Linked DNA regions of Callithrix jacchus. The protein of the gene in region 1 purifies or fractionates together with the protein of each later gene. This does not show direct contact. Links are inferred from orthologs where the notes say so. Each region holds a gene or a part of one and is shown on either strand. Other genes may lie near its edges. The genes, in order: ITGA4 and ITGB1.

The links.
Region 2: the proteins of ITGA4 (region 1) and ITGB1 purify together in Homo sapiens (co-immunoprecipitation; 4 studies listed by BioGRID and IntAct, with this or other methods). This does not show direct contact. The link is inferred for Callithrix jacchus from reciprocal best matches to the Homo sapiens genes ITGA4 and ITGB1.

What each region holds. Positions count from the first base shown.
Region 1 is NC_133507.1:47,527,798-47,531,622, reverse strand, and holds part of ITGA4 (integrin alpha-4), read left to right. Parts: intron 1-2,379; coding exon 2,380-2,478; intron 2,479-2,932; coding exon 2,933-3,052; intron 3,053-3,520; coding exon 3,521-3,619; 3' UTR 3,620-3,825. UniProt on the Homo sapiens protein: Integrins alpha-4/beta-1 (VLA-4) and alpha-4/beta-7 are receptors for fibronectin. They recognize one or more domains within the alternatively spliced CS-1 and CS-5 regions of fibronectin. They are also receptors for VCAM1.
Region 2 is NC_133508.1:32,606,121-32,609,945, reverse strand, and holds part of ITGB1 (integrin beta-1), read left to right. Parts: intron 1-1,646; coding exon 1,647-1,787; intron 1,788-1,947; coding exon 1,948-2,147; intron 2,148-3,651; coding exon 3,652-3,825.

The DNA.
Region 1 (3,825 bases):
TCTTCACCCACTCTTTGATGTTTTTTTTTTTTTTTTCCTTGTAAATTGAAGTTCCTGTAGATTCAGGATGTTAGATCTTTGTGGGATGGGTAGATTGCAAAAATGTTCTCCCAGGTTTCCTGTTCACTCTGATACTTTCTTTTGCTGTGCAGAAGCCTTTTAATTAGACCACATTTATCAATGTTGGCTTTTGTTACAATTGCTTTTGGTGTTGCAGGCATGAAGTCTTTAACCATGCCTGTGTCCTGAATGGTATTGCCTAGGTTTTCTTGTAGGGTTTTTATGGTTTTGGGTTTTACATTTTAGTCTTTAATTCATCTTGAGTTAATTTTTGTACAAGGAAGGGGTCCAGTTTGTTTTCTGCATATGGCTAGCCAGTTTTCTTAGCACCATTTATTAAATAGGGAATCCTTTCCCCACTGCTTGTTTTTGTCAGGTTTATAGAAGATCAGATGATTGTAGATGTATGGTGTTATTTCTGAGGTCTCTCTTCTGTTCCATTGGTCTATATATCTGTTTTGGTACTAGTATCCTGTTGTTTTGGTTTGGTAGCCTTGTAGTGTAATTTGAAGTCATGTAGCATGAGGCCTCCAGCTTTATTTTTGCTTAGGATTTTCTTGGCTATACAGGCTCTTTATTGGTTCCATATGAAATTTAAAGTGTATTTTTTTTCCTAATTCTGTGGAGAAAGTCTATGGTAGCTTGATGGAATAGCATTGAATCTCTAAATTACTTTGGGCAGTATGGCCATTTTCACGATGTTGATTCTTCCTATCCATGAGCATGCGATGTTATTCCATTTGTTTGTGTCCTCTCTTATTTCCTTGAGCAGTGGTTTGTAGTTCTTGACGAGGTCCTTCACATCCCTTGTAAGTTGTATTCCTAGGTATTTTATTCTCTTCGTAACAATTGTGAATGGGAATTCACTCACGATTTGGCTGCTTATCTATTTTTGGTATATAGGAATGCTTGTGATTTTCGCACATTGATTTTGTATCCTGAGACTTTGCTGAAGTTGCTTGTCAGCTTAAGGAGTTTTGGGGCTGAGACCATGGAGTTTTCTAAATATACAGTCATGGCATGTACAAACAGACAATTTGACTTAATCTCTTCCTATTTGAATACACTTTGTTTCTCTTGCCTGATTGCCCTGGGCAGAATGTCCAATTCTATGTTGAATAGGAGTGGTAAGAGGGCATCCTTGTCTTGTGCTTGTTTTCAAAGGGAATGCTTCCAGTTTTTGCCTCCCAAAGTGCTGGGATTACAGGCGTGAGCCACCGCACCCGGCCAATGAGATGATTTTTATAAGCACTTAGTAATAGTTCATGGCACAAAGGAAGCCAAAGGAAATAGCAGCTGTTATGTTTCAAGTGGGATTTTTGAAATTACCAAACAGTGGATAAGACGAAGATACACTAGACAGGCAAAGAAGAAATATCCATTCTAGTTTCAACTGTGCTAAAAGGGAAGTCATTAGACCACCAGGAAGTCATTTAACCTTTTGCAATTTGCCTTCTCTTTCTCTCTAGGTCTAGGTTTCCCCTCAGTGGCCATAATTGGCATTTTGGACCAGATATTGTTGTTGTCAAGGGCTATCCAGTGCATTGTAAGATATTTGGTAGCATCCTCAGCATCTACACACTCACTGCTGGTAGTACCACCTCTCACATTCTGACACTTGACAATTTCTTCAGACATTCCTGTCCCTTAGGTGATAAAAACCCTCCCTGCTGAGAACTATTGCTCTAGGCTATATGAAGTTTGTCATTTATTTTTGGCTCTAAAATGTTAAATCACATTTGCACAGTGGTTTTAAAGGTCATATCCCTCTTAAAGAGTCTGACTAAAGAATATATTCTCATCTCCCTCAGCAAATGCAGACATGAAAACATCTCCTGAAGATTCTTAGAACTTGTAAGGCACATCCACAGATTCCCAAGCTCCATGGATTTGGGGTTTCAAAGTCCCTGCTTTAGATAGTAAAGTTCTGAGTTCATCCACTGATTTTATATTTGAATTCTATATATGTATTTAATGTACAAAGAAATAAAAAGCCCAAACAAGATAGATTCAATATGTGGTGGCAGGGTGGAGAACACTGGTAACTAGTAACTTGCTGTTGTCTAATAAATATTTAAATCAAGTTATTTGCAGGGTAGCTATGTTTAATCAAAGGATTTCAATGAAATACTATATAAATTAATACCAAGACCATACTTTGGGAACCAAAGGAAGCACTGCAGTTAATTTTAAGTATTGAAGTAAATTGGGGAAGATAAATTGTGGAAACCTCTAATAGAAGGTAAAGATCCTGATAAATTATTTTTATTAATAGTCTTCATGAAATAAATCACCATAGCCTGATCTATTATTAAACAGGATGAGACTTCAGCACTCAAGTTTGAAATAAGAGCAACAGCTTTTCCAGAACCAAATCCAAGAGTTATTGAACTAAACAAGGATGAGAATGTTGCGCATGTAAGATTACCCTCTTAACTGCTACATTAAAATTATAGGAAAACACATTCCAAGGGTGTCTGTCTATAATCACTTCCTTTTGAGTAACTGAGTTGGGAAAGTAGAATGTGACCAGCTCATGGAGGGCCCTCAGTGTTTGGCTGAGAGTTGGCATTTTTCCACAACTGGCAAGATGGAATGATACAGCAGTTCCTTTAGAGAGGTGAACTGGGCAGCAGTGAGTATTGGATAGATTGGAGGAAAAGTCATGGATAGAGGCTGTCATACTCACTGTTTCTGCTAGACAGTTACCACTGTTTCCTGTGGTTATATTAGAACCAGCAAGAAAATGGGCTGGGAGGTTCTAAATATTATTGGGGATTATGACAGGACTTTAAAGGAAATATAAGCAAGTTTTTAAACTGTAGGTTTGTTTTTTTTCTTGTTCTTTTATGTTTTTTCTTAATTCACGTAGGTTCTACTGGAAGGACTACATCATCAAAGACCCAAACGTCATTTCACCATAGTGATTATTTCAAGTAGCTTGCTACTTGGACTTATTGTACTTTTATTGATCTCTTATGTTATGTGGAAGGTAAGCTTTTAAGAATTACCAGCGTTAAACTACTCAAAGTGACATCATTTTCTCAAAGCCAGTTTCTGGCTTCCAAGTTTTTCAGTATTTTAATGTTAATTTTTTTATGTTGCTCAGTACTGATCTCTCATTTCTCTTCAATACCAAAGTCTTTTTAGAAAAAGATTCCTTCTTAATTTGTTTTGAAAGATGTTGCTTTTTAAAATGCATTTGGAAAAGACTGCAAATTACACTGAATGTCAATTTTGGAGAGAATGTGGCATATATCACTGAGAATTTCTGCATTAAAAACAAATGTTTTTTTAACCCAGTATGTCCCCAACTAATTACCTGTTCAAAAACCTTTATGATGTTATAAGGGACACAATTTAAGAAATATTGGTGTTAACTGCTTAGATATTAGAAATGAGTATAATAGATAAGAGTGTTCACAACTATACACTAGTGATTATGTAATGCTATTTTCAGGCTGGCTTCTTTAAAAGACAATACAAATCTATCCTACAAGAAGAAAACAGAAGAGACAGTTGGAGTTATATCAACAGTAAAAGCAATGATGATGATTAAAGACTTCTTTCAAATTGAGAGAATGGAAAACAGACTCAGGTTGTAGTTAAAAAATTTAAGACACTGTTTACCAGAAAACATGAATTTTTCTTGGACTTGTTTTACTCATGATCTTGTGACATACTATGTCTTCATGCAAGGGTAAAATCTTAGCAATGATTACTCTTTGAGAAAGAAGAACTGTCAAGGTAATAATACAGCCAAAG
Region 2 (3,825 bases), on another chromosome or scaffold:
AGGAAAAGCTTTATACATGTTGTCTTACAAAAGCAGATTCATAGCCTAAACAAAGCAAAAATGTGATAAAGTCATGTGAGAAATATTTCTAAATATGTTTGTTTATCATTAAGCAAGAAATCTCCTTGTTGGAAAGCAGTTGTAAAACATAGCTTACATTTAAACTTTTACAGGATTTCTCCAATCTTTTTTCTCCCCAAAATATCTTTTATAGAGTCATCTATTTTGATGAACTATGCTAGAAACTTTTTTTCCCCCCAATTCTTCTCTTCTTATATATTCAAAGGATATAGTTTTCTATTTCAGGAAGCATACACATTCATATATACATATACCACTAACTCTGTAAAAATGTAAATAAACATATGATTCACCAGTTCAAAAAGATTTATAGTGTTCTTTTTCTACCCACAGATGGGAGGGTGTTGAATTGAAATTAAAGAGGAATTTGCTTCTCCTTTTTGAACATAATTCAGTATACTTTAATCGTGCCCAGTTAGCCTTAATTAATAATCACTTAAATAATCTGAAGGCAGTTGTAATACTATGGTAACCCTGTGTGTTGCATGCGCCACTTTCAGCCCCCGTCCCTCTAACCCTTTGGCAGCTTGAATTTTAAACATTTTTACCTCATGCCATGGGGTACCATAATGCTTTGGAAAGGCCTGATTCAGAGGGGTTTTTACAAAGGTTTTTAAGATTTCATTTGTTCCACAGATTTTCCATCCTCCCCGGTCTTGGATAATTTTCCTAATTCCTGTCTTTTCAGGGGTATGAACAAGAGATAGCTTGCCACTGCTGCAGCTCCATTTGCCCTGAATAGTTTTATACTTTCAACAAGCCCTGGCTTGAATCCCTCCTTCTTGTGGGATTTTGTTTTTTGGTTTTTGGCTGGGCTACAATGGTTCCTTAAGCAAATTTGTTCCTAGAGTGCATTGTTGATTGTGTACTCTAGTCCATAGTTAGCTGGAGGGGTAGGACCACAGAAACACCATTTTGCCAGTGGGGAAGACAGCATTTATTTATTCCACATTCTTTTTTTTTTTTTTTTGAGATGGAGTCTCCCTCTGTTGCCCAGGCTGGAGTGCACCAATCTTGGCTCACTGCAACCTCTGGCTCCTGGGTTCAAGCGATTCTCCTTTCTCAGCCTCCCAAGTAGCTGGGATTATAGGCGCATGCCACCACACCTGGCTAATTTTTTTTTTTTTTTTTTTTTTGTATTTTAGTAGAGATGGGGTTTCACCATGTTGCCCAGACCGGTCTCGAACTCCTGAGCTCAGGTAATCCATCCACCTCAGCCTCCCAAAGTGCTGGGATTACAGGCATGAGCCACCACGCCTGGCCTATTCCACATTCTTAAGACTCCTCCTAATTAATAACAGCCCTCTGTACTGTGTGATCCTGAGTATTTTAACTCAGTGATTAAAACAGGAATACTCCTTTGAATTGTGTATTTTATTTTGAAGATTGGATCTTTATTAATTAAAACCTGTTTCTCTAGCGTCTGTGTTTTCCAGTTACTCAGTTGGATTTGGCCTGTAAATATTTTATTGAAATAATTCTTTTCTGAGCAGTTTATCCATTGGTTTTATGCATTCAAGTAGCATTTTGTTGACTTTCCTGTATATAATTAGGCATTCTTTTAGTCCCTTTCCTCAGAAGTCATTTTGGAAAACAGCAAATTATCAGAAGGAGTAACAATAAGTTACAAATCTTACTGCAAGAATGGGGTGAATGGAACAGGGGAAAATGGAAGAAAATGTTCCAATATTTCCATTGGAGATGAGGTACGTTGTATAAAGCATTTTCTGTAGAAAAGAAAACATTGCTTATTTATAAGCAAATTTAGTTTATACTTTGAGAAATGTTAAGTGAGAAGCTTTTTAAAATATTTTTAGTAGATTTAAATTGCTTAATTGGTTGTTGATCTTTTTTTTTCCCTTCAAGGTTCAGTTTGAAATTAGCATAACTTCAAATAAATGTCCAAAAAAGGATTCTGACGCCTTTAAAATTAGGCCTCTGGGCTTTACGGAGGAAGTAGAGGTTATTCTTCAGTACATCTGTGAATGTGAATGCCAAAGCGAAGGCATCCCCGGAAGTCCCAAGTGTCATGAAGGAAACGGGACGTTTGAGTGTGGCGCATGCAGGTAAGCTGGTCATTGTCAGATAGTGGAAGAAAGGGCTACATTGGTTTAGAGCATAGAGGCAGGTCATATTTTGGGACATCCAGAGAATATCTCTCTATTCAGAGCAAATGCTTTTTCTAACCATGGTTGCCTGCCACAAGATCAGTTTGATAATCTTATGTGTGATATTTATAGGAATCTCCTTCCTGCCTTTTCTGCTTAATTACTCTTTAAAGTAAAAGCTTTTATAGCCATAGAAGAAGTATATTCAACGAATAGTTAACATAGCATTTCCCTCATGTGAGAGCAATCTGAATTGTCTAGAACAAAATAAGCTTGTATAAAATACATTTATAGAAAAATGTTTTGAAAAAACATCAAACCAATGATAATGATTTCATCTGGGAAATGGAATTATAAAGCAATAGAAGATGTTTATCTTGTACTATATGTACTTCTGTATTGTTGGAATAATATTTTAAAAATAATGTGTTGTAAAATAAAGAGAAAATGGTATTTTTAGCATGTAGAATCTAATACTAAGAAAACTAACAAGATTACTTCAGATTTTATTTTCACACTGTGGTTCCTTTTTTTAATTGAAAAATAAGAACTGAGTATACTTTGAATACAGCCTTCTCCATAAAAGAATAGGAGGAGGGGAGAGTGTTTTAATCCGGTGTCAACCCCAAATGACTAGGCTTAGAAGGGCTATTGAGTTTTTCAGTGTCTGGGCTGAATAACAATTTAAATGTTAGAATTTTTAAATTTTCCATATCTTGTTTGAATCATGCCAGTTCCATTTTTAGTAAAATGTCATTTAACCAAAAAGGTTATCTTGAAAATACTTTGCCTTTCTTTGCTTGTATATTTACTAGATACAGAATCAGTGCATTCAGTGTGCGTGAGCATTATATGTTCTGAAAATACACAGGGATTCTGAAAAGTCTGTACCTGTAGGATACATTTATTTTTAAATGGTATATTATATTTTAAATAGTATACACAGTATGTTTTTTTCAGCTTCTGTACACTTTTCTTCAACTTCTGTACACTTTTTTGCATGTGTTTATTATATTTCTTTAGGTTAATAGATTGTTGTTTTAAATTTAGAGACAGTTCACCTAGAATAGGAAATGTAATAGCATACCATTTAAAAATGTAACTAACATACTCTAAAATTGTTTATTTTGCCTTTCCACATGTGTTGTTCATAATTTATTGCTAGATATATTTTTATCTTCACCAAAGTTGTTACTTTCCTGAAGAAATTTTTTTCCTAGACTCTTGCATATATTCTGTAGAAACTTGAGTGACTGGGATGTATGTGCACGCCTGTGTATTTGTCCTTGCTTGCACATGTGTGTACACTTCACTACACATCTATGATGTGTGGCATGGACAATCCCATCTAATAGATTGGTAGCTCGCAGAGATATTTTTTGTAGTTTTATTTCCTCTCCTAGTATTTCTCTTTTAAATTATTTTTGTTTTGTGTGATTGCAATTGTGGAATCTTTGTTCAGGTGCAACGAGGGGCGTGTTGGTAGGCATTGTGAATGCAGCACAGATGAAGTCAACAGTGAAGATATGGACGCTTACTGCAGGAAAGAAAACAGTTCAGAAATCTGCAGTAACAATGGAGAGTGCATCTGTGGACAGTGTGTTTGTAGGAAGAGGGATAATACAAATGAAATTTA